Neodiprion lecontei: one gene and its partners. The main gene of each other region encodes a partner of the protein of the gene in region 2 in a complex. Links are inferred from orthologs where the notes say so. Each region holds a gene or a part of one and is shown on either strand. Other genes may lie near its edges.

The links. The genes of interacting proteins can lie anywhere in the genome.
Region 1: DNA-directed RNA polymerases I, II, and III subunit RPABC1 (region 2) and prefoldin subunit 6 share a complex: the UniProt entries of both Homo sapiens proteins name them as parts of the PAQosome complex. The link is inferred for Neodiprion lecontei from reciprocal best matches to the Homo sapiens genes POLR2E and PFDN6.
Region 3: DNA-directed RNA polymerases I, II, and III subunit RPABC1 (region 2) and p53 and DNA damage-regulated protein 1 share a complex: the UniProt entries of both Homo sapiens proteins name them as parts of the PAQosome complex. The link is inferred for Neodiprion lecontei from reciprocal best matches to the Homo sapiens genes POLR2E and PDRG1.

What each region holds. Positions count from the first base shown.
Region 1 is NC_060266.1:6,914,709-6,924,814, forward strand, and holds prefoldin subunit 6, read right to left. Parts: upstream 5,939-10,106; 5' UTR 5,646-5,938; coding exon 5,582-5,645; intron 5,500-5,581; coding exon 5,304-5,499; intron 4,900-5,303; coding exon 4,779-4,899; 3' UTR 2,139-4,778; downstream 1-2,138. Other genes in the region: glutamine synthetase 2 cytoplasmic, read left to right, coding at 836-1,761; methylosome protein 50, read right to left, coding at 7,979-8,165, 8,280-8,472, 8,761-8,933, 9,344-9,683, 9,928-10,027. UniProt on the Homo sapiens protein: Binds specifically to cytosolic chaperonin (c-CPN) and transfers target proteins to it. Binds to nascent polypeptide chain and promotes folding in an environment in which there are many competing pathways for nonnative proteins.
Region 2 is NC_060266.1:3,233,552-3,240,511, reverse strand, and holds DNA-directed RNA polymerases I, II, and III subunit RPABC1, read right to left. Parts: upstream 1,616-6,960; 5' UTR 1,458-1,615; coding exon 1,156-1,457; intron 1,063-1,155; coding exon 732-1,062; 3' UTR 608-731; downstream 1-607. Other genes in the region: abscission/NoCut checkpoint regulator, read left to right, coding at 2,126-2,173, 2,407-2,645, 2,752-2,986, 3,085-3,243, 3,330-3,458, 3,519-3,710; putative inorganic phosphate cotransporter, read right to left, coding at 4,387-5,637, 5,921-6,153, 6,894-6,918. UniProt on the Homo sapiens protein: DNA-dependent RNA polymerase catalyzes the transcription of DNA into RNA using the four ribonucleoside triphosphates as substrates.
Region 3 is NC_060264.1:9,172,523-9,181,024, reverse strand, and holds p53 and DNA damage-regulated protein 1, read left to right. Parts: upstream 1-4,065; 5' UTR 4,066-4,182; coding exon 4,183-4,199; intron 4,200-4,237; exon of another isoform or gene 4,238-5,240; coding exon of another isoform or gene 5,241-5,245; intron 5,246-5,558; coding exon 5,559-5,800; intron 5,801-5,898; coding exon 5,899-6,068; 3' UTR 6,069-6,364; downstream 6,365-8,502. Other genes in the region: tectonin beta-propeller repeat-containing protein, read right to left, coding at 73-297; decapping and exoribonuclease protein, read right to left, coding at 6,393-6,608, 6,789-7,156, 7,293-7,516, 7,716-8,017; uncharacterized protein LOC107224090, read left to right, coding at 8,068-8,152, 8,419-8,502; uncharacterized protein LOC107224089, read right to left, coding at 8,234-8,287. UniProt on the Homo sapiens protein: May play a role in chaperone-mediated protein folding.

The sequences.
Region 1 (10,106 bases), about 3.7 Mb from region 2:
TTGCGAAAAAGAGAGCAGTGAATGCTTTATACACAGTCACTTTTACATTGTTATCACATAGAGTAATACATTTTATCTTAATTGCGTGGATTCGTATAGTACCCATGTATAAAAATTGTTTGCAATATGTGCATAAATTACGTTCATACGCTTATCAATATCTTACATCTCGTATTTGGATGCTGGAATCCTTTTTATAAGAGAAAGTCTCCAGAGGTTTCGGGAATATATTTATACCAAGGCCAAGTCGTTACGTAATTATGCAAAATAAAGCGTGCTACAAATTTTAGTGATATGGAGTAGAAAAACAAAACAATAACCGTACCTTTCTCGAATCATGAAGTAATCACTGTAATGAAATTGTATACTACGGCATGATATATTAAAACCGACAATTTGAAGAATTGCTTATTACGGATTACCGATGCAAATTAGTGACCTTATACATATAATGATTATTTTGAGAATCTCCACATACCTTACTGTCCACTGTCGTGATGACAAGTATTGGATAATGTCCTCATGACGTCAGAACCTGATTATCGGCGTCATTTTATCACCACATAACCTAAGTTTTTAATTTTAATGGAAGCAAATCGTACTTCTTGGAGTTTCAAATCACTCATGTCATGTAAATTAATTAACCAACATCAATAATACATCTGTTCTAACATCCACACGTGAAAAACACGTCGATCAACGCTCAGCTGTCAGTCTGATTGCATTACTTTAATTTGTTTTCCACCAGATGACGCATTGAAAAGTGACAATGCCAGTATTCAGAAAAGATGAACCTAGTTAACGAAGCTCATACCATACGTTTGTTCATTTGCAGAGTTGCCAATTTGGACGTACGACGGTAGTTCAACGTACCAAGCGGACGGTGCCAACAGTGACATTTACCTGACCCCGGTGGCGATCTATCGCGACCCCTTCCGAAGAGGCGACAACAAGCTTGTCCTCTGCGAGACTTACAAGCCGGACAAGACACCGACGGAAAGTAACAAGCGGTTCGCCGCCATGCAATCGATGGAAGCCGTGAAGGATCAGGAGCCGTGGTTCGGTATCGAGCAGGAGTACACCTTCCTCGACTTCGACAACAGGCCGTTGGGCTGGCCGAAGAACGGTTACCCCGGACCCCAGGGACCGTACTACTGCGGTGTCGGTGCGGACCGAGTGATCGGGCGGGAAATCGTCGAGGCTCATTACAGAGCGTGTCTTTACGCCGGGGTGAAGATCGCCGGAACAAACGCCGAGGTGATGCCCTCGCAGTGGGAGTTCCAGGTCGGTCCCTGCGTCGGTATATCGGGGGGAGACGACCTTTGGATGGCGCGGTTCATCCTCCACCGCATCGCCGAGGAGTACGGCGTGATCGCGACCCTCGACCCGAAACCCGTCGATGGAGCGTGGAACGGCGCTGGTGCCCACACCAATTTCTCGACGAAGACGATGCGCGCCGATGGCGGAATCGCCGAGATCGAGAGGGCCATCGACCGCCTCAGCAAGAAGCACCTCAGGCACATCCAGGCCTACGATCCACGCGGAGGAAAGGACAACGAGCGCCGTTTAACCGGAAAGTGCGAGACCAGCAGTATCCACGACTTCAGCGCCGGCGTCGCGAACAGGAACGTCAGTATTCGTATACCTCGCGGCGTCGCCGAGGACAAGAAAGGGTACTTGGAGGACAGGAGGCCCAGTAGTAACTGTGATCCTTATTCCGTCATCGACGCCCTTGTTCGCACTTGCGTTCTAAACGAGTAATCGGACTTGGTGTATAAATTGTACAATACGGGGAGGGGGGGGGGTCGACGATTTATCATTGGGAATGGAAATGTAACGCTGTGACATCTGGTGGCGAAAAAATACGTTAACCTAATTTCGGGGCCCGTATTTAATTTTTAATGAGCACTTTTATCGTATTTTTTACAGGTTATCGGCTGCATGTGAAAAAATTAAAGCCTCGCAAATTGCATCAAGTTGTCTGTATATGTTTTCTATTCGCATAATTGACATAAAATATTTTGCCGATAGTTCGGTTCTCGTCGCCATATTGCTTTATAGCTACACCTCCACGTTCGTTCCCGGAATAATCACAGAAAGCCAGTTGAAGTTTACATGAATAATTTTTCGTTAATTCGTTTCACATCCTCTAGCATCTGTCTTAGAGAAGGGTTATGAACTAATCAAGAGGAATTAATATCACGATTTTATAGATCTTTGACCAGCAGGATTGACGGGGTTATTTTTATTGCGTCCATATCGTAACATAGTTCAACTGTCTTGGCTGAGGTCCATTCGCCTGAAGAATCTTTGAACTGCGCATATCAATTGACGCGTAGGGCTTGAAATAAAATGCTAAAGTGAAAGTCAGCAGTTGTGCCCACGTCCAACTTACGTGACCATGAAATACACGAACCTGGCGTCAGACACGCGTGTAATACCCTTACATAATTCACAAATTTGAGTCAATATTGAATATAGGATATGTGTATACAATAATAAGACGCGTTGATACTAACAAAAGAATTAATTACGCCCAACTAACGTTAACGTGAAATCCTATTAAACCTCTCGGCCGCGCACGCGAAATGTAAGAATATAGATAATAAAAATTGATAATACAATGTATATGCGCCAGCGCACCAGCGTCATACAATTGGCAACAATAATATTCTATTTTAATATGATATTGAGATATTATATATAATTATGTACGTAATCGTTGTAATATGTATATTATATTATAATATATTATATATACTTTCCTATTTGTATAAACATATTTTCTATATCAACGTTGTAGATACGAATCATTATACTATTACCATATTATAAATATTATATACACGATAAAGATAATAATTACTATGTTTAGGAGGAGGTTCGCGCTACCGACTGGGGCCGGATACCCGCTTGTTATGTTATCTATTAAACAAATATATGAGCAAAAAAGAACGGTGCTCGGATCTGTAATTCATTTCGAAACCCAGCAATTCGATTACTCGCCTGTCCTCCCATTGAAATTTTAAATCATAAGAAATTCGAGACCTCACGGCATATATTATAACAACGAAACTTGACTGCTTATAAATACTGCGTCGGCTTATTATTTATCGATAACGATGTATATTCAATAGGGCAAGACTTGAAAGCTTGTTTGACCATTCAAATTTCGAATGGAATAGAAAATGAAAAGAAATTACGAGGAAACGAATGAAGTTAAGAGTTGTCGTGGGCGTCGGATTAGCCGGAAACTGATCCTATCAAATCCATCGTAAAAAATGTTACGAACATAGTTTTTCTACCGGAGATATATCCAAACTTTAAAGACCTTGCACTTGATAGTTATGAATAAAAATGCGGTCACTTTATTGCATCCTCGTGTTTCCTCATCTTAGTCAGATTTTGGTTCGCAAAGAAATTAGTACACTACGGGATAATATTACATGTTTGTTTATTTTACTAATAGCATATTTTTATTTGACGAAGCCTATATAACTGCTTTTTTTTGCTAAAAATTTGATCCCAAAATATGAATCACCGATAGTCGTTGGGTAAAATTTACTTTTATCAACAATTCTAAGGGAAAAAAAATGTTTCAGTAATTATACCAATGCCGTCAAGGTCTTATGACAAATATTTGCATTTGTTTAGTATTCTTACCTATACGGTAGAATTCAGATATGTAAAAATTCAAATGATTCCGCGATGTTTACTAGTATAGATTAATCGGGAAATATATGATTCCGCATAATAGAATATTCAAATTATCTGCCGACATATTTCGATTATAAATGCTGGTAAACAAACGTAACTTCCCGTACAACTTGATTCTTATTCGAAAAACTACGCAACTCTTTTACTGCGTTATACGATACATCTGCAGTGACTTAATTGGTAAACAGGATGATCTATTTACAAGTGTCAATTCTATATGTTGTTGACAGAGAACTTATGTAAGACTCTTGTAAACATGTGAATGCGATCTTAACAATCATTAGAATGCCCGTTGTTTTACCAGTAGACAATAAATCCTTCATACTGCAAATATTCAGCGAGAAAATTATTTCGCTCTATTTATCGAGGGTATTAAATACTAAACGTTTATAAACTACCACTACGAAGAAATACAAACGGATCAACAATAAGTAGACCTTATTGTGGGCTACGCTTTTTGAACGTGTAGGATTTTTGAATGAAATTTTCCAACGAATTAAAAGAGATTGGCCAGTTTCGCATTCTGAACAATGACTTTTATACAGCACAATTTACGAATATCAATACGAAAGTCGAACTCTGTTAATGGAAGTATTTAAATTTCATGAAATAAGAAGAACCACAAACGATCTTTTTTCGCACAGAAATAGAAGCAAAAACTAGTTACTTCTATAGTTTTTAATTGAGTTATTTAGTTTTTATATATAGTTTTCATATATTTTTAATATTTCAATTTTGAAACATTCCTTTCAACATCTTCAAGATTAGATTATTAAATAGAGGCAATGGTACCTTTTTGATCTACTGTTAATTATTTTTCCAAGGGATCTATGATTTTATAATTTTCAAAAGTATATTCTTTATTGAGGTTTTAAACGAGGTCAGTAAATTAAATTTAGATCTAATTATGTATTAGATAATTAATGTATTTAATGAAAAATATGAATGAGAATTATAACGTTCACATTAGGGACTTCAGATGACAAGATAATCTCAAAGCGTACACAGCAGTAGTGAATTATTTAGTAGATTATTAACAATTATGTATTTTCCGATCGTTTTTAGGCCTTCATAGCTGCCTTCAATTGAGCCTGTTGAAAGGATTGTTGAAGTTTAGCCAATGCCTCGCGGTGAGTATCCTGCTTTTTGTCCAGGTTTGCTATCAAATCTTCAGTGCGTTTTCTGAAAACAATATTAAACACTCTTCGATTGGCAAGTCTTATTACTATACTTATGTATCTGTAATTCTGTGAAAGTATCAGCTTTCCAATCAAATTGACAGATTTACGATTGTTCGGCACTATGCCTTCTTTTAGTCAACGTTGGCACCTTTGGCTGCTAGTTTCAGCTTTACGTGAATCTTGAAACACTCGCAAACTTCAAATGTATTTGACCGATAATCAACACTTGGAAGAAATCAAACATCGCTGAATGAAGGTGACTTCATTTATTCAATTAGCATTCGTAACGAAGGTAGTAAGAATCTTGTATATGGCCTTTCGTTGCAAAGTATTCATACTCTTGTTTTGCCTAATGTTGTACTGAAGTTTAAAATTTTTATTAGAAATATCTGAGGCGATACTTACAATTCGGCCGAAATGTACTCCATTCTTTTGACAACGTTTTGCTTTGCCTCTTCCAAGTCCTGCTTGACTAGCACCGGACCAATTAACTTAAAAACCTCGTTCCCTGATTTTAAAAGATCTAATTCTTGTTTTACAGCGGTATTTTCATTTAACTGTCCATCGAGTTGCTGCCGTTGTAGAAGAGCCTTGTGGTAATCTGATATCGAGAAATATTTCTAACGAATTAATGAGTCGAGAGAAAATCAATCCAGTGTTTTAATGGAAAGAGTTGATCTTACCTTTTTGAACAATTTTAAATTTATCAAGTTCAGCTTGAAGTTTCTTTTGAATCTCATCAACCATTTTAATTGAGTAATGTAGATATTACCTTGTGAAATTAAATCAAGAATTGCGATAACGCGATGGTCAATTATTTATTTCTGTAATACCCTAATTTCCACAACTTAGCAGGATTCTATAAATGTTAGGTTAGGTCGAAACATCACGCAATTCCGGAAACCGAAGCAACTTAATGTAGGTGGAAAAGTCGATTGGTATATCAAAAATCTAGTGAAACTGTGAGTGGAACTGAAACAGAGCTTGTTAACAATATAGTGAAGCAAGAAAGACAATAAGGTATGAGTCACAGTAATATTCGCAGGCTGTACAACCGAATGTAATTTTCCTAGTTCATCGGCCTATGACGTTGCAGTAGCACTCCCCGACAATTCCAGAAGTTTGACACTAGATCCAAGGAGCTTTTCTTACGTCATTTTCCGACACGAATCAAAACCACTGATAGCGTTTTCCATTGGATGCACTGAGTGTGAACTGAGAGCGCACTAGCGGTAGACTCGTATTTCCACTAATTTCCAGCGTGTTCCACTGGCAGCTCGGGTACGTGAACTTGGCACTGAGTGCGTAAAATATTGCCCTGAATCGGGAGTCGGTGTCAAAGCAGTGCAATTATGGCTGCCGATCGTGAAAGAGTCTAAGTAGGTGCTGTGACAGCAATTCTTTTATTAGATCTAATTTCATCTTCGTCTAGCAGTGATGATGACTTGCTGGAGCCGAAAGATAGAGGAGAGATTCCCAAAATTTTAAATGTCCTAGGAGTAATCCACAGCATGTCCGATATCGAAGTATGGATACACATTTTTTCAGCTTTTAGAGGTTAACTGCTAGGTATATTTCAGGAGATTGGGACAGCTCGACTTGCTACTTATTAATTTTTATCTTTTCAGTGGAATTGTCAATTTTTTTTGCCCCTGTATGCTCGTGCCTAACATTTGTGACATATATTTACAAACAAAAAATTACCGTTGCGTTTGTTCAATTGGCTCCTTTATCACTTGCTTGAAAAAACTGACAGTCGCGCAGTCAGTCAAGTAACGTCACATTATTTCTGATTTAGGAGAAATTATGATTTGGAGGCTTATTACGGTTCTCGAGCGAGTTTACTCACTTCTCACATTTTCATCTCACGTGAGTTTAGTCACTCTATTACGGATCTCTCGAGTGAAAATGTGAAGTAACTAGGCACTTCCGGTATAGGGATCTCACATTTTCACGAAAGTTGACTCCATTTTGTCAGATAACCTAGAAAAGTTGTTGTGAATGTCAGAAAGAATTGTTGAAGAAAATGAACGTGACAGAAGTGTAATATATAAAATATGTAATAAATAATATAAATATATATAAGTTATATTGAATGGGTCTGAGGCATCGCGTAGTGTTCGTCGTATTCTGAGCATTCGATTTTCCCGATTTTGCATAATCACGATCACTAAATTATTCATTGTACAAGTTCCCACGTATCAATAACTTTTACTCTTTAACCAACAAATATGGAGTGATCTTCGTTCTTTTATGAAACCGATGGAACTTTCAGGCAAATCCAAGCAAATTACGCTCACGAGCATGCGCAGAACGATTCTCGACACCGAATTTCGTGTCGAGTTTATTCATGTGGATAACGTCTTTTCACCTCGTGAGATTCACCGTAATAGAGCGAGCCAGTCACTTTCGTCATTTTCACTCGATTCGAGAACCGTAATAAGCCCCCTAGTCTGCCTTTATACGTTTTACGGCGTGTTCCACTCAGAAGGTTTGCCCCGATGCCGGGCGACGCATGCACGGAACGAATGCCCCCTGTTCGAGCCAGTGCAACCAGTAGAAAACGCTATGAAATATATTTCTATATTTCAGTGATCACACTTTTTAGTGACTGTAGTGGTTGGATCTAACGGAATAGGCCAATGAAACAACTTAGTGTCATGTGTCAGAAATTGACACAAGGACAGTGCATGTTCAATCGCGTTTTTGAGACAAATCGGGAAAGGGATGATCGTTTCAATTACCTTACGATTAAAAATATTAACACAGTTCAGAATGATGTAAGCTTACTCGAGATTGCATAAGAATGGCATGTTGGGAAGTTATTATTTGTGTTCATGAATACTGGTATGTTGTATGTATGAAATTACAACCATGTATTAAAATTGTTAAAACGAAACCAATGATACAATAGTATATACAATGTTGTAAGCATTTATTAAAAATGTATGAAATAAACAGTAACTTCAAATTGTTAGGGCACTGATTCAGATGACAATTAACGAGGCAACATCTCGACATAACGAATGACTTGCATAGTTGTCGATTCTGTATCGAGTAATTTAATGTGCAAATCAACATCAAGAAGATATCGCATGTTCCAGAACAGTGTTATCCCAGGAAGCTGTTAGTAGACAATTTTGGTCCCATGCCAATCCACGAACAAAGTCACGATGGTTCTTATTTTCGTATATCACTTCCATGTTGTGGCTTGTATCGAACACCTTCACCTCTGTACTATCGCAGCATCCAGCAAATTGGTCATTTCTATGCAAATTGAATAATTAGGGCAAGTATAAAAATAATTTCAGTGTTGTAGAAACATTATACTCATGTACATAGCCACTGGGAATGAATCAAGCGAAATTGGTTCACACAAACCTGGCTGAATTGAATAAAAGCCTGTAAACTCCTCTAGAAAAAGCTCGAGGGTTTTGGAAAACAGGTTCACTATTTGATTGCCTGACATCAAGCACTAAAATTCTACCATCTGCATCTCCAATCACAAGTTCATGTACATTTTTCGGATTCCATGCTGCTGCAGTCAGTCCACATTCGACATTTTTGATTATACCTTGGAATAGTATTATGATACAGTCACTAATGTTACAGAGGAAAACGAATGTGAAATATTATCAAGTATCTGAAATTAAGCACTTCGCATCAGTTAAGACACTTTGTGGCTTATGTCTGATAATTACAAAATTGAAATCAATGCTAAAGTTGAATATTTGTGTAAAGTGTTTCAGGTTAGTTATTTTTCAAAAAACTTTGCAGAGCAAAAGTCGATGACAAAGGTCGATGACCATGATCAAAAATCTAGATTCATTAACAAAGAGGGATTCATAAACTGCATACATACAGCTGGCTGGCTTTGGTTGTCGGAGATCCCACAGTAATGCATCGTGATCAAGAGAAGTAGATGCAAAGATATCTATGGATTTGGGTTGCGCTTGTACGCAAGTCACTGTATCTGTGTGAGCCGGACTGAAAGTATGACTGGAATACAACTCAACCGTATCCCAAACTTTTATGCTGGAAAAATTAACGAAATTTCATTTACATTATACAAATTCATATTTTGATATGAATCAACCAAATATTAGCATCATTGGTTGAGTATGATTTATTGCAATAAGTAATACTGTTAATGTTCAAGCATGCGCGCAGTAATTAACTAATGTTGCAAAAACCATAAACTATACAACTGCTCTTGTAACATACAAAGAAGCACCTGCTGTAAGATTAACGAATATCAGTTACAAGTAACTTTTAACAAATGGAAGCCCACAGAATTGAATCACATTGTGAGCAGTTTGGACCAAGTAAAATGAGATTCAAAATCTAGAATCTTCATCCACAGCATAAGATGAACAGATCTGAGTTTTTGGAATTTATTAAAGGTAACTTATATTGATCGCTCTGAGCAATTTTTTTGCTAATACCAATAATCCATCCCTCCTGTAACTAGACGAGTGTTTGTATCGAAGGCTGATACGGATGTGATGGCATCGTCATGCTCAAATGAATATCCTAAACATTGTAACTCATAGTTGTGTGTGTCAGCCATCTCATTTATACTAAGAATCTGAAGAACTCCGCTGTCTTCACAGATTACAAATTTATTAGTTCCACTTAAGCATGCACCGTCACATACTCCACTTTCAGTTTTCATAGCGGTTGTTGCTTTGTCTCTATTGAAGTCGGTATGATCCTTGTAATACCAAACAGTGCCATTCCAATAACGGTCTGTCATATTACTCGCACCTAATATTGCGCCAATACCTGTAAATCATGGATTTGATTGCAATTGGAATGCAATAGTGTTACTTAAACAAATCTGTGAGGCAAAAATGAAAACAAGGTTTCAGTACTTTGATGGATGGTCAATTGACTTAATTTCAACTTCACAGTATCTCAGAGGCAGAGAATAATACGTAACAACTCATACTGACAGTTTGTTGCTATAAATGTTCTAGCGATATAAATTTTAGGTGGCATTAATGCCGGGTAACCTCAAGAATATTACCATCAGAAACCAGAATGAACTGCAGATGCCGATCAACATTCGGCGGTATATCGGCAGAAGTCATGTTTCTGTAAATCTCGGCATTTAAATTAGGATCCATCGCTGTATTACCGAACTTCGTTATTAAAAAATGATTAATACACAAATTTGATTAGTAGTTCTCAACAACTTAGCGCGTC
Region 2 (6,960 bases):
ATTTATTTCTGTTTCTGGATTGTGTCACATTTTCAAATTTAGAAGCATCATTGCGCAATCATCAGTTATGATTGAAAATTGTAATGAAAAATTGATGCGTCTCGTAATAGCATCGTCTTTGATCGATTACTTTCTTATTTCTGAGATAAACAAACTGCGTTTCGAGGTTAGAATTGTTTATTGAATGACAACTTCGGTTTGAAAATCAGTTTTTGACCTACTGCGTATTGTTTCTTCACAATTCTGGGTACAGTACGAATGTAAAATGTTTGTTTCATTTACTCTTTGTTAAATGTCAATATTTTTCGACTCTTAAATCTATCGAGTTTAATATTTAGGTAACCGTATTTGAGGTTAAGTTGAGATGAAGCTGTTCAGTACCTAAAGTCCGTATTTTAACTAAGCGACATGGATATTGAGTCCTGCTATTGGCTCAATTTTTACGATATGGCACGATGGGAGTGGTTGCTGATTTTGAGCCAATGATGTCGCTCCAATTTGCATGTAGCTGCAGTGAAAAGAAACCCTAATGTTTCATGGAAATATAATACATGAAATCCTAATTTTCTCAACTAAAGTAGAATAATTCACAAAAACAAATTAAGCATTTTCGTTTCATAGAAATTTTTATTCGGATAAGAATATTTGTTTTCTTAACATTAACTTGAACATGATAAAACTTAAAATATCGTGTAGGGGAAGTATAGAATAAAATTGTGGATTTTCTTCCGTCAACAGACAAGCCTGTAGGATATATATCGCCCGGCAGTTTCAGATGGTCTGATAATTTTGACGACCTGTCCACGCTTTAGGCCAAAGTAACGGGCAACTGGGTCGCCGGCTTGTATGCGCATGAGCATATTCTCCTTGAGCTTGTATCTTGAGAGCAATTCTTGCTTTTCTTCAGGTGTCATAACAACATGCTCGGGAACCAGTTCGTGCTCAGTTATGTTTATCAGTAATTCAGACTCCAGAAATTGTTCTAGTATGTACTTTGGTGCCATGTCGACTAGCGACTGTTTAGCTGAAGGTGTCATTCCCTGCTGAACGACGATAGTTGCTCTGAAAGACATGAAGATGACATGCAATTAAATGATACAAAGCAGGCCATAAGATACATATGCTTTTTGTTCCATCAATCCGTATTCCCATTACCTGTGAATTTTTTCTTCTTGCATGCGCTGGCAGTATGTCTTGATTGTTTTTATGCCGATCTTGGGTTCGTCTGGAAAGAACACGAACAGCTGATCGGTCGGATCGTCGTTGTGGGCGACAAGTACGATAAGATCACTTCTTGCAGGTCTTTTCTCACTTGGTTTGTCCCCGAACTGTTCTTTGAATTGTTCCAGGGTCTGATCGAGCTCGTCCTGCGTTACGAGATAACCTCTGTCGTGGCATAATTGCATCACGGTCTTTCTTATCCTCCACAATTTGTACGTCTCAGCCTCGTCGTCCATTGAAAATTAATTTCTGCTTAGATTGGTACTTTGAACGATGATTTTCTGCCTATTTTTATCAATCTTCTGCAGTATTAGTCGCGTTTTTGTGGTTAATCAAACGTCAAACAGTCCTTGGTGCACTGAACGCGTGGTTCGTGATTCGAGAAATGCGATATATCGATGTTCACTTCTCGCAGAAATGTGCCAACGGTCTATATCGATAACCACAACTATCGATCAATTTTGAATTGCCGTATTTTGCATCGATGAACGTTTTAAGTAATGAAAAATAAGCGAAAATAAGGAATTAAAATCAATCGAACAAAGCACCGTATTATTACACGACTTATACATCGCAGGGTTATAATAATTCACTCTGAAATTCAGTAGTCAATTAGCGGTGTGGATTGTAAGAACGTTCCATTTTTTGAATTTAATTTGAATCCTGTCGATATACTATCGATAATCGGATATGCGTCGAAACTCGAAAGCGCTGCAGAGTTGTCCGTTAGCTGCAAGATGGACGATGATCTTCGAGAGAGATCACAAATGATGAGAATTTGCGCATTGAGGTGCGGCAACGGGAAATAATTTTAAACGGTATCTGGGCACACCAGTTTTTCACATTTGACTCAAGTTTTCGAGTCTTCTGCTCACGTTCAACTGGCACGAAGAGGATTGATGAAATGTCATGCAACGCGTGTCAAACAAAATTCACCTTCTTTACTCGAGAGGTAATTATAAAAATTCGTACTATCAATTCCACTCTTGCATATCGACCGAGTGATTCATACTTTGATTATACAATTACGCAATATTTGTTTAGAGTTATTTCGTTCTCTTCTTTTTTTACCCCCAAATTCCTTATTCTATTGTTATTGTTTATTAGCATGCACAGCAACAAGTTAGAAAAATTTGACACAAAATTTGCCATATTCATATCAATACTTTTCAATGTTTCTTCCAGCACGGTTGTCCAAGTTGCCATTTTTCCTATTGCGCCAAGTGTCTCAGGTACAAATTTGACCTGCCAGATATTGGCAGCACAAAAATATGCGGCAAGTGCTATTATCGGTTGAAAGACGGGGTGGAGAACAAGGCAGAGGAGAAGGTTCAGTCTGAAAATTTAAAACCTCAACTCTCAACACCGTCTGAGGGACAACCGTTGTCCGTCGAACAAGTTGCTCCAATAGATATTACTCAGAAGTACGCAAGTGGAGATGAAGAGATGGAATAACTTATTTCAGTGTCATTTGTTCAATTACTACATCTTCAATGATAAACATTCATTAATCTTTCCAAAACTGCACAGATTAAATTCGCTTGAAAATCCGTCCAAACCACCGATTGTTTTGTACAAAAAGGAGATTGGACGATGGGATCGCCTGAAGTCTGGACTAGATCCAGCGGATCAGAATATGGTTGATCGACTTAGGAAATTGAAAGATGAGGACAAACCTGTGCCTCAAACTAGCTTGGAGGAGATTAGAAGAAGGCTTGCTCTGCTCAAGGATCAAGACCCTAATAATCCTGTTCCTCAAACTAATGTGAGCTGAAATTAAATACATTGCAATTGTATATTTGTATGCTAGTTCAACTAGCTCATTGACTTTTGTTGCTCCCAAATTTGCCACTTCTCTTCAAGATCCATTCAGTGGATACGAGGTCGGATGAACAAAAGACTGCAGATTTGATAAATGAGTATTTGGAGGAACTTAAGCTGTCTTCGGATGTAAATTCGGATGCACAGATCGAGGACAGGCTTGCCAGATTGAGAGGAATAGATCCTGCGCAAATTCGCAAGGTCAGTATTGAATAATGGCGAAGAATCTTTCAAGATCACAACTTGCTGATATTCATGGTTTATTCCTCTGCTCTGTTTTCAATCAGAACAAACCTGAGGACATTGAGGAAGATGAGCAAACAGCCACCAAAAGAATTATTAAAAAAGCTTTGGATGAGGCCGCGATAGAGTCGAAATTTGCCGAACTAGATGACCTAGAGCCTATGGATACTGATGTAAGTGCAGCAGCGCTTGATTTGTATATCAAATCTCTTGTGATTTTTAATTTTAAACAGCCAGCTGAAGAGGAAGAAGAGTTACCCTGGTGTACAATTTGCAATGAAGATGCGCAGCTCCGCTGCACGGGATGCGACGGTGATTTGTACTGTACATCGTGCTTTCGGGAAGGGCATGACTCGTTTGAAATGGTCGATCATCAGAGTGTGCCTTTTACGCCACGGAAAAAAGTCAAAAAAGTTGATGATTGATGGATTAATTCGCTAAAAATATCGGTATTACTGGTACTTTGCAATTTACATGCAAGAGATATTGGTTTTCTCAAATTATTTCAAGCTTTCTTACGCATAGAAAAATATTCTAATCATCACATAGACTCAACTACCAGCTTTTGACTTACGATTCGTAAACAGTTGTGCAATTGATCTAAGGTATTAAAAAAAATTATACGCATATATTTATACAAATACACATAATTATATTTATATAATTTTATACATATGTGTTTTAACACTTTTTCAATGTAGTTTTTATTTTTGCTTCTTCTATTCGCGGTTGCAATGAAGTACACATACCTTTTATTTGCATATTTATTTATACATATGTATACATAATGTGATATCTGTGACATCAGTTTTTAGGATAGTTGCCTGTATTTTCAAGAATATATTATGTTTTAACCTCTATCCGATATCCGTGTTACAAAATTTAGAATTAACGTTGCCCAGAAATATTTTGGCAGGCAACTCAATATGCAGTCGCGTGTGCCTAGTACCTGTTTGCAAAGTTCTTTCAAAATTGAAAGTTGAGCTTTCTTTCAACAGGGGTTGAATAAAAGTCGGCAGTATAAGAATTTTACTTCCTGGAAAATCAGAGTGACTATAAGCATATGCATGTCATTTTGTACAGCAAATATTTCGCACACAATTAACGATCATGCTTGTGTGGTGACAAATCGTCGTTACGGACCCTGCGTTGTTCGGCGTTGATACCAGTATCCTTCCATCGATGATTCGAAACAAACTCTGAGTCATTCCAGTACTGAACTTCGCCGTCAGCACAGAGTCCATAAATGGTAGACGTCGCTACCAAGGTGGAGGAGGTGATCCAAAACACGATCCTCCATTCCAACAAGGTCTGATTAGGTGTGAGAACGCCTACCGCGTAGGGTGCCAGGATCCCGGCAAGAGCGCCGCTTCCGTTTACGATGGCGGTTAGGGTTCCAGAGTAGTTTGGACTCAGGTCTAAGGGATTGACCATGATGCCGGGATAGAACGATCCCATGAACCCTATGCCGACCGTGAAGAACACGACGGCCATAACGCGGTCGCATTCGGCATATGAGGCAGCGAGGACGAATATCGCTGGAAAGAGGGATCCGCTTACTGTGCAAATCTTCCGGACGTTGGTCCTCGACATTTTGCCAGCTTCTATGAGCCAATCAGCGAGCCAAGAGGATGCTATGCCATCGAGCCAGATAACGGCGAAAGGAAGTGAGGTCAGAAGCCCGTTCGCCTGTATCGAGAACTTGAGGACATCGTTCATGTACTTTGGGAGGTCGGTCAGTACCATGTAAAAACCCCAGGAGAAGCCCATTTCACCAGCAATCAGAGCCCAGACCGGAGCCGAGGTCAGAATCTGCCGCCACGGGGTTGGTCCGGTCTTCTTGTGCGTGTGTTCCATCGTCATTTCGTGCAGGTACGTCCGTTCCGCTTCCGTTATGAACGGATGGACGTTCGGCTCACTGTAGCACAACAAGATCCACGCCAAGAACCAGAGGACTCCCATCCCGCCGTAGACGTAGAAAACCATCGGCCAGCCGATCGAGGAGTAGCGTATCAGGAACCCGGAGAGAACCGTTCCCAGGACACATCCGACCTCCATTCCCGACGCTGCCACTGTAACGAGCTTGGATCTCTCCTGCGGTGGCGCCCATTGGGCTATTAGGACGCTGATCGCTGGAACTGTCGATCCCTGGCTGACCCCAGTCAGGAAACGGAACACTATCAGACCCGTTGCCTCGTAATATTTGACTACCAATGGTGTCAGCAGGGTCAGTACAGCTGTTGACAGTACCGCGATGCCTAGTGTGTACTTTCCTCCAAATCTGTCGGCCAGTATTCCGCCTGGTACACTTGTGATCAGGTAGCCCCAGTAGAAACTCGACAGAATTATGCCCTGAAATATTATTTCATCCATCGCGAAAAAGGGTAAACTTTTTGCCACATCGCAGTCTGATTTTGAACAGACTTAATTAATGTCATGTTTGCAGTGTTTTGGGCTCGAGGGGTTAATCACTCATCGATTTGATGTTCACCTGATTTCAAGATTACAAGGATTTCAAAAGATTTCAAGCGATATCCGGAAAAGTGTAAACCAGATTTAACGAGTGATTAACCCCTCGTGTGGGCCCTTCTATGCTTTCTTATGGTATAAAATCCCGATCTTCTAGTCTTCTGACCTGCGTGTATTCGTCCCATTCGTAAGTGCCATCTTTACTTTCACTGCTTGTAATATTCGATGAGGTGAAATTAGCTGAAGGACAAGACTCGTATGAAATGTCATTCTTCGAAGCTTCTGTGGTGGCTACCATCTCAGTGATTGCCAGAGACAGGCAAATTCTCATTGTGTAGACGTTCATCATTCCAAAACATCCCATTACCGTGAGTACCCATCGCTGGGGTATTCTTGCACCTGCAAAATCGTCGCTTATATCCAACAGGTAGATAATCGTTGTCAATTGTTGTTTGTATCTCTCCGTATGCAACTGATTACCACTGACGGCACATCACCTAATTTCTACTGAACTAAGAATGAAAGGGAAATTTGAAGTGCATCTTTACTGTTGCCTTCTTTCTATTTCCGTGACAATGGTTACTGACAGAGCATTTATCACGTATGAGTGTTTACTGATTCATTCGTCCAAGGTATTTGGAGCAGTGTGAACTATCTTGATTACAAGATTTTTAAACCTATATTATAAGAGTCAGGTGTCGATAGTTGTTGGATTGATTGATCTGAGTCACAAGGTAAAGTCTGGGTAGTTTGGATTTCATCGTCTAATCTTTCCACTTAAAATGCAGTCGTGCGTTTAACATCGTGAAAAATGATGTTAAACTGCAATTCGACAATGATTCGATCGTGACTTTTAATATTTATATTTTTTTCTATTGTAAATCTAGAAATTTTTAAATTCCTGCCTACATTAAAAGTTCTACATTAAAAATTCTGTTATAAAAATCCGTGCTGAAAATCTGCCGAGAGAAATCGTAGATATATTATGTTTGGAATTCGGATTTTTTCTACATCGATTTATATAACTTATGTTTTCTGGGAAAGATATTTAAATTTTTTTTAATCGAGCCGAGAGTATTTTTCAAATTCGAAATATGTATATAGATACACTATAGCTGTACTATAATTTTATGACTTACAACAAATTTTCCACGTGGAGAACATCTTTGAGGAATCAATGAATCGAGGAAATTTTTAACTGGAAAC
Region 3 (8,502 bases), on a different chromosome or scaffold from region 2:
GATAAATTTTCATTACACAGAGTATAAATGATTTTCTTCTAATAAGTATTAGTAACATGCAGACGAACCTACTTCATTTTCATAGGTTTCTTCCTTGATGCGAATGGGTATATCTAGCCCATGTACATGGACGTAAACTTGACGATCGCCACCAATGGCCCACATGAAATGAGGCACTGCGGAGAGTTGTTTAAACTCCAGTCCCAAGTACATGAATTCTCTCCACATATTGCCTGATGTCGAAAGTCCGAATACTCTCCCCTCATTGTTAATAGCGTATAAATATGAACTCGGCATCTCAACTCTTGATGTATAACATTATAAGAATTATTATTTAAATAAGAAACCCAAAGTTCAAACAATAATTGAAAGCACTGTATAATTTTAATTTCCAAAATTAAATTTATCAAAGTCCGATATGCCTAGGATTGAAGCAAGTTGATATAATTTAAAAGTTTCATTAGAAACATTAGAACAAGTATAGTCGAAGATTGATAGAAAATTTCTAGTAATTACTTATGTCAGTGTAAATATTACTTACAAGGTAAACAGTGAGCTAAATTCTTATCACAGAGATGAGAAATACTTCGTTCAACAATGTGTTGAGTAATGTATTGACAAGCTTCAGTATCTACGGATTAATAGGAATTGGGGAGTCTCAGATCTTCTAAGTATGATAAAAATAATACATATGCGCTATGTGAATATGTTTCATGTCGTACAAAACTGGGATACGTATATTGTAGAATACTTTCTTACAAGAATACCATGGAAACGCAAGTGGATGTGCTGCATACGTACTTTAACCTATTATATCTTGAATTATACGGTTGCCGTCACATTTATGTGGATTGGAGTTATGAAAAGTAGACGTTAGCATAAATAAACGAATCGATCGGACAGTAAAGAACAACGCAATTCTGTCCTTATGTCATTATTGATGCTTACCACGCAGGTATTGATACGACGACAAGACGACGTTTGACAGCTTCGAGGGTTTGTCAGACGTGATCGTTCAAAGGCGGCTGTCAGTTTGGATTTTATTTTTCTTTGCTTATGACGATCCACTTGACCTTCGGTTTCCGCTCAAAGTTGATACCACAGTGATACGCTAGATGACAGCAGTAGCTCGTGTATCGACCAATCAGGTTGTAACGTAAGAGAGACAGGTTGTACATGGCATGAGTGCTCTATTTCACTCCTCCGCCACACTTTCTATACACGCGAAACTTCCTCCAGTCAACTCCTCCAGTCAACGCCTCCAGTAGTATTGAGTGAGTAGTATATGCTCTAGGTAAGAACGAAACGGTATGCTTTTGCGCAGCCATGTTTGAGAACTAATCGCGTACCTCGTGGTATCTCTTCCATATGACGGCCATCTTGGATTCTTATATAATTGCATTCGATGTTATTAAAAGGATGGCTTCCATGTGGTCGGCGCAGAACGGGGCGAAAATGCGTCCGCCGGAAGAACACACTTTATTTTGTTAACATCACGAAGTACCTAGATAGTAGAGACCCTAAGAAGTACTCAGACTTATGGCCACCGCTTATAGTAGAAATTGTGATCGTAACTATCACTTTGTCGTAAACATAGCCTCGTGACCCGAATAAGAGACATGAGAGACTAAAAGCCTAAAATCGAAGAAATTTTTAAGGTAAAAAATTCAAATAAGCATTCCAACGATGTTAAGCTTCTTTGTCGTAATAATGTTCCTAACCATGGACATTGACAGAGAAGTTTTTAAGCTGTCAACACCAACTAGCAAAATTACACATCAAATTGCTTATTTTAATTCTGTGCATCACCAGTTTTCGAAATAAACTGATATTTACAACCTCGGGTTTGAACGACAACACTTTGCAATGTCTTTGCATTCAAACTGGGTTGCGTTAACTACGGTTGACATACCTTGGAAAAGTTTTGTCAAGGAGTCCACTGAGGTACCGAGCAAATCTGCAAAGAAATTTCCTGGACGACTTAATTTTCAAGGAATCGAGGCAAAGAAAACTTACGAAGGTATCATCTGCCAAAATTTTAAACCGGATACCTTGGCCAAACCTGACATAGCTCCAGAACAACAGAGTAATCTGCTCAAGTCTAGCAATTCTCTATTTACACAAAAAGTCATAACGAATGTCAGTACAAACTCAATTTTGAAAGCAGTCGAGCAGAACGATTTACATTTCTTAAGGAAACATTTGAATTCAGATAATGTCAATGTGTCGGACGATTTCGGGTGGACACCATTGATGTCAGCAGCATATAATGGCAATTTTGAAATTGTTCAATATCTGTTGAAACTTGGAGTGAATAAGAAAGCAAAGGAAAAATCTGGTTTGACAGCAGCTCAATTAGCTCTTAAAAGAAATCATTTGAATATCGTAGCTCTACTAAGGAAGAAAAATAGTCAGAAAGACCCTGAAGATATTAAAAGTAGCCCAACTTTGTCACACGATAAGTCTGACATTGTTTCTTTACGTGATGATGAACGTGGCAAAATAACGAAAGTAGAGGGGTCATTTAAAAACGAGCTACAATCCATTCAACAAAATGCCAACAATTTAAAATTCGAGTTTTATTGCGAAATATGTAAAACTGCTTTCAAAGAAACGTCTGTTAAACAGCATGAGTCTTCGACACTGCACATTTTTAATACTAAACCAAAATTGCGCTGTGTTGCATATGGGATAGCAAAACAAAACAAAGGGTATCAAATGCTTTTAAATACTGGATGGGACGAAGAAACTGGGCTGGGACCTTCGGGGCAGGGCGCAAAGTATCCAATCAAGACAATTCTTAAAAGAGATCGTAAAGGTCTTGGCCAAGGAGATAACAAAGAAGCTCGAATAACTCATTTTAAGCCAGAGGATGTGTCTGCAGTCTCTCCAGTACGGATAATCCGTCCAAAGACCTTAAGGAAAAAAGATAGAGAAAAATTATTATCCAGAGAAGCTATGAAAGATCGAATGATACGAATAGCATTGTCTTGAATTCGCACATTTTCAGCTATAATTCAGCTGCTGCTGGCATTGCGATAGATGTCTAACTATTCAATTGAATTGCAATAGCTTCCTGCAAGTGTAAGGTCACAAGAAAGTTTATTATAATGCTTACTTTCATATCAGAAAAGAGAAATTACCTGTATTTCTCAAAGAAACATTCGAATTCAGTTATCATTTGTTTGCAAGAATTGATTGAATAAGTTGTCAGTTATAAAAGGGGAAAAACAAATTTGTCATCACTACAGCTTAGTTGACATTGAACAAAGATCGTTCGTATATTGACCATTTAAAAAAATATCAGACAAGGAGATGTGAATATTGAGGCAACGTAAATTTATTATGGAACAAAACTTGACGTATGGAGATCAAGATATTGAGTTTGAGGTTCTTAAGAAAAGTGCGGAGCATCAGATAAGAATTCTTCTACAGAAATCAAGAAAAGATTGATGAAGGAGTGAAAAAAGGCTAAAAAGCAATACAATTGCTTTAGAATAATTGAGTCATTAGGAGAACGTTGAAAAAACACGAGGCTGAAATTGGTTATGTCATTGTAATGAAACGTTGATTATTCACTATTTTTCCATGTTACAAGGACTTTGAAGGAGATAAGTCTTCAAAATATAAGTATAACCGCTTACTGAAATTCAGATAGTTATAATCTCAAAAATAACGGCTTGCCTCAATATGCCTCATTGCAATAACGTAACTAAAATTGTAACTTCGACATGATGAAATGAAGATGGAGAAGGGATGTTGACCAAAGAAGCTATATAAGATCAAACGATACGAGTAACAGGTTTTTCTCACACCACTTGTTCTCGAATCTAATATTCAATGATTGAACAACCATGAGATGTGTATTTTATTACTGTTTAAAAATCAATGGTGTGATAGTTGATTTAGTATGAACTGCTATGTACAATATATAAATAGTGACGTAGCAGAGACAGTTGAGATTACAGTTCAAGGGTGTGTTCAACTTGGGCGTTTTGAGAGCTGTGACAGCCACGTTCTATAGCAGTTTATACGTCGATGTATATCTACATGTATGTACTGAAAGCGCTTAAGTGCTCAATTCGAATGCACCCCAAGTAGTGAAGTGCCTACATCATATGTTTCAACTATGTATTCTTGCCATATAGAATCTTGGAAAGTCCCAATACTGTAAGACTGAACATGAAGAATTTGGCAGTGTAAGATGAAAAATAATTACGCTGTATTTTTTTTTTTCTTTTTGATACATTAGTCCATGTATTCTACTATAGGTATAACAGTCACACTTCATACAATGTATCATGTTGTTAATATCTGAGACTTCAGCAGAAAATCATTCGTTGAAACAACATGCATCATTCTACAAATTAAGGGGAATTCTCAGTCTGGAAGCCGCATTTCAAGAGTTAGAATCATGATTTTTTTTACGAATGAACTAACAGTCTTAATGAATTAACTTTTTTTCAAGATTTATTACATATATTTGTGAACTTGTGTGATTTTTTATGTGTAAAAATATCAAAAACAGGCTGTGGTATAAGCAATGGTGTAGCGGCCCTGTGGACGTGGGTGCCCAATCGGTGCGATATCTGAAGGTTATAAATTTTATGTGAAAAGAAGAAAGATACTTAAATTATAAGTTATTGGTTATCGGTTTACGTAAGTTGTGTGGAAATTTTGAAAATTGTCCAAATTACAACCTCTTGAAGGCAAGACCTCCGCTTTGCACTTTAAAGAAACACGGTAATTTCATTATTATTAACAAATGAATTATCCAAATAACAAGAGCCTATGTGAACTGAAAATGCCTGCTGTTTCGAGGATAAACGCACAAGGCCAAATCAATAGTGTGACTGTTACTCAAGGTATCAGTCATACTGCATTAAGAAATGTAGTTTCGAGATAATCGCAACCGACTGATATCGAATATCGATGCTCACTGTTTCGTTTCAATGGCTGCAGCTTCGTCAATTCTTAGATTTTTTCTATTGTTTTGGGTTCAAAATACGCTTAAAGCATTTCACTTCAAAGATATAAAAGAGAAAATATTGATTTTTGAAAATTTCCGGACTGGGATCCCCTCTTAAGAACTTTGTTTTAAAACTTCATAACATAATTCCTTTCGGTACATGCATTACGTTTACTATTGTCAATATTCTTTATTCTACAAAGCTTATAGTATATTCCCTTTCTGGTGAAGTGAAAAAAAGAATCATTGACTGGTGGTACAACTGGAATGGATGATGTAAGCACTTAATTTCTTACAATATATGTACAAAAAGATGTGCTACTTTGCGATTTTTAAGAAGTTGTAAACTGATATTAATTATTGTTTCCATGTCTTGTTAGGATTAATTACACCTAATTATAAGATTGGTAATTGCATTCAGAATAGAGACAATAAACCAAGCAGATTTTTTTCACCAAAATTTTCAAAAATATTAAGAATGAAAATATGTTCAATGTACTCAAAAAGACGTATGCAATAATCTGAGTAATTGTTAGATTGTTATTGATACGATTGTGATATTTAGCATTATCATCTGTTTCCCACATAGTAACAAAGACTACGCAATGAATGACGAGCAGAAGACATTGAAATATCTGGAAGAAGTTGAGGCCAAGGCTGAAGAGATATTGATGGATAGGCAGGAAATTGTTGCACTGGATAAACGAAGGAATGATGATAGAATGGGGGAGCGGGCTTTGCGGAATCAAAAATTTGATAAAACTTGGATGGCTGTTGGACCTTTGCTGATAAAAATGTCAACAAACTCTGCTCAAGAGTTGCTTGCAAAAGGTAGAATTTAGTGAAAAAATAAAAAATGTGAGACAAGTCAATTCAGCACAATCCTTTGCATTCGCAAACTAATTTCAAAAGTTGTTTCCATGTTGTAGATCAGAGAGAGTGCGATGTTGAAATCAACAAAATTAGGAGTGATTTGAGAGTTAAAGTGAACCAGCTTCGTGATTTAGAGCACACTCAGTCTGTTCCAGGACTAATGCTAAATCCAATGTCTCGTGAAGAAATGTTAGCAGTAAATCAAGTTCTTGGCAAAAGTCTTTGAATGGTTGATGTTTAAAGAGATTCAGATCGAAAAGTTTGACGATAGTAAGTTAATAAAGGTAATATAAAATACCTGGTTATTTGTAACTAGTCATAGGAAGAGAGAAGCTGAAAGAGTTTAAATTTTTAAGAAAAGAAACTTATGGTTGCGGAACCATTGAGAAAAATTATATAAACGCAAGCATTGCATCTTATTATTTGTTTATAGTTATTGGAAAAGTAAGGGTGTTGTTTTGTAAAAATTTAAACTTTTCAATAAAATGTCACAGTGAATAACCACGTTTATTTTTTATACAATTTTGTCTCTTAAGCTTTGAATAACCTATTACCGTCTCATCATTTGTACTTTGGCTTCATCGATGAACCATGGACGAAGGAAAGAGTACTTAGATTCACTGTCCATCTGATGAACCTGCACATCATTCCCTGGTACCCACTCGAATTTGTAGACACATTCGTTATAGTCTTTTGTAACTACTGATTGGACAAAATTCAAAAATTCATTGCAAAAGTTCATACACTCCGAAGCATTCCAAATTCCCTGTAACAATGATGGTATAATTAACACAAATTACGCAAAGTTTTGTAAATAAAATTGCGAAATTTGTTCAGACATTTATTGATACTTGAAAAAAATTTTCTAAAAACTTAACACTAACGATGCTTCTGAAAAACATGCTGTTTTGTGATATCAGAGGGATTCTTTATAAAACTTAATCACCTTTGACATTCTAGTCATCTCTGGTACGCTGTAATTGGTTAAATTTCTAACTATACCATCGTCATCTCGGAATCCACAACAAACGTTTTCGATGCCGACCAAAAAACTTTGGCACCACCATTTAATTAACTTGTATCTTCTAAAGTTTTCCTCCTGACGCCTATTTTCAATAACTCGACTTGTCTTCAGTTCCACAAATTTAACCCCTTTCCAGTCAATCGGCTCTCTTAAAACCTCATTGGATGAAACCCCATCCATCTCCGCGCCATACAATAATCTATTATTGCCAAGGCGAGATGTGAACATACAGCAAAATTCTTCACCTTCATTAACAGGCTTAGAAGTGTCTGATGCTTGTCCAGGTGAATCTGTAAGATCCTAAACTCATTGAATTTAAATCTGGAAAAATAGTACACAGTACTAATTGAGAAAGAAGAAGGAAGTCGGATGGTGAAAAGCATAAAAATTAATGATATTGTAATAAACGCCAATAATTGTTTATACCAGTCAGTAAATATTGCTCGAATTTGAATCCCCAGGACATGAATTGTAACTGCTTTTTGGATATGTTGCTTTTTCGTAGCTTTTTCTCCTCTGTATCAAAGGCGCAAAGGTATATCGTGCCCTGCCACTTCGATGCACAAATTATCCATCCCTCTTGTTTCTCAAATGGAGTACACCAAAGCATTGTCAGTAAACCCCGGAAGCATACAAAATGAGGCTGTAACCTGCAATCGATAAAGAATTACAAAGAGCATTGTCAAGCATGAAAAAGTTTCAAATTTTTTTTGCAGTAATTATTTTCTATTCTTATTCACAATTTGTTGGGTAAAAATTGATTTAAATTTAGCAACACACAAATGCGATACGAAAAATGGCTTGAAACATTAAATCTGTGACGAATAATTTATTTTGAAAAATTCAAACCATCGATCGGAATCAGGTGGAGCACGAATCTTGTGGCAATTCAAAAGAATCCACCGTAACAAGTGATCCAATCTCTCATTATCGGCTTCGGCTGTTTTTCGTATAACCAAATCATAACCCACTTTCAGGTCAAATTTGACAGTCTCCGAAGGTGATGCATTGAAGTATTTCAATTGCACAGTGTTTGGCAGAAATTCTCTGTTTTCGTTTAGACTAAAGCAGCCGGATACCTCTGGTCTACTAAAATGTGGAAAACCTTCCCCATTCCAAGATCTGTTGATGCGAAATCTCGAGGTTTCCATTGTTTAAAAAATGATCAAGATCAGTATTTCGTTTGTTTACAGAGTGAAGAATGGCGACCTTGACACTGCATGGAATAAAGCCAATTCTGACAGATAATTTGCAGCTTCTACCAAGATCCGTGAGATGGCGTGAAAGTATATTGAAATCATTATATTCCAGTGGAGTCCAAACCATACATATTGCATAGCTATGGAACAAACTTCAGTTTAAAAATATTATGACGGATCAACGGCCCTCCAAGTGGTGTTTTTGCAATTACTGTGTTTATTCTGTAATTTGATCAATCCAAATGTTATGAAGAGTTAATGAAAGTCGAGAAAATTACCGATTCGTCATGCTTGTTTATAAATGAGTTGATCTGTCTTGCGGGTGTATACCTATCACAGTAATACTATTCCAGGCACTCCAAAATTTGAGGACGGCTCAATTCTGAGAGAAACAAATTCATTCTTGCGTCTTTGGCTACGAATATCAATAAATATGA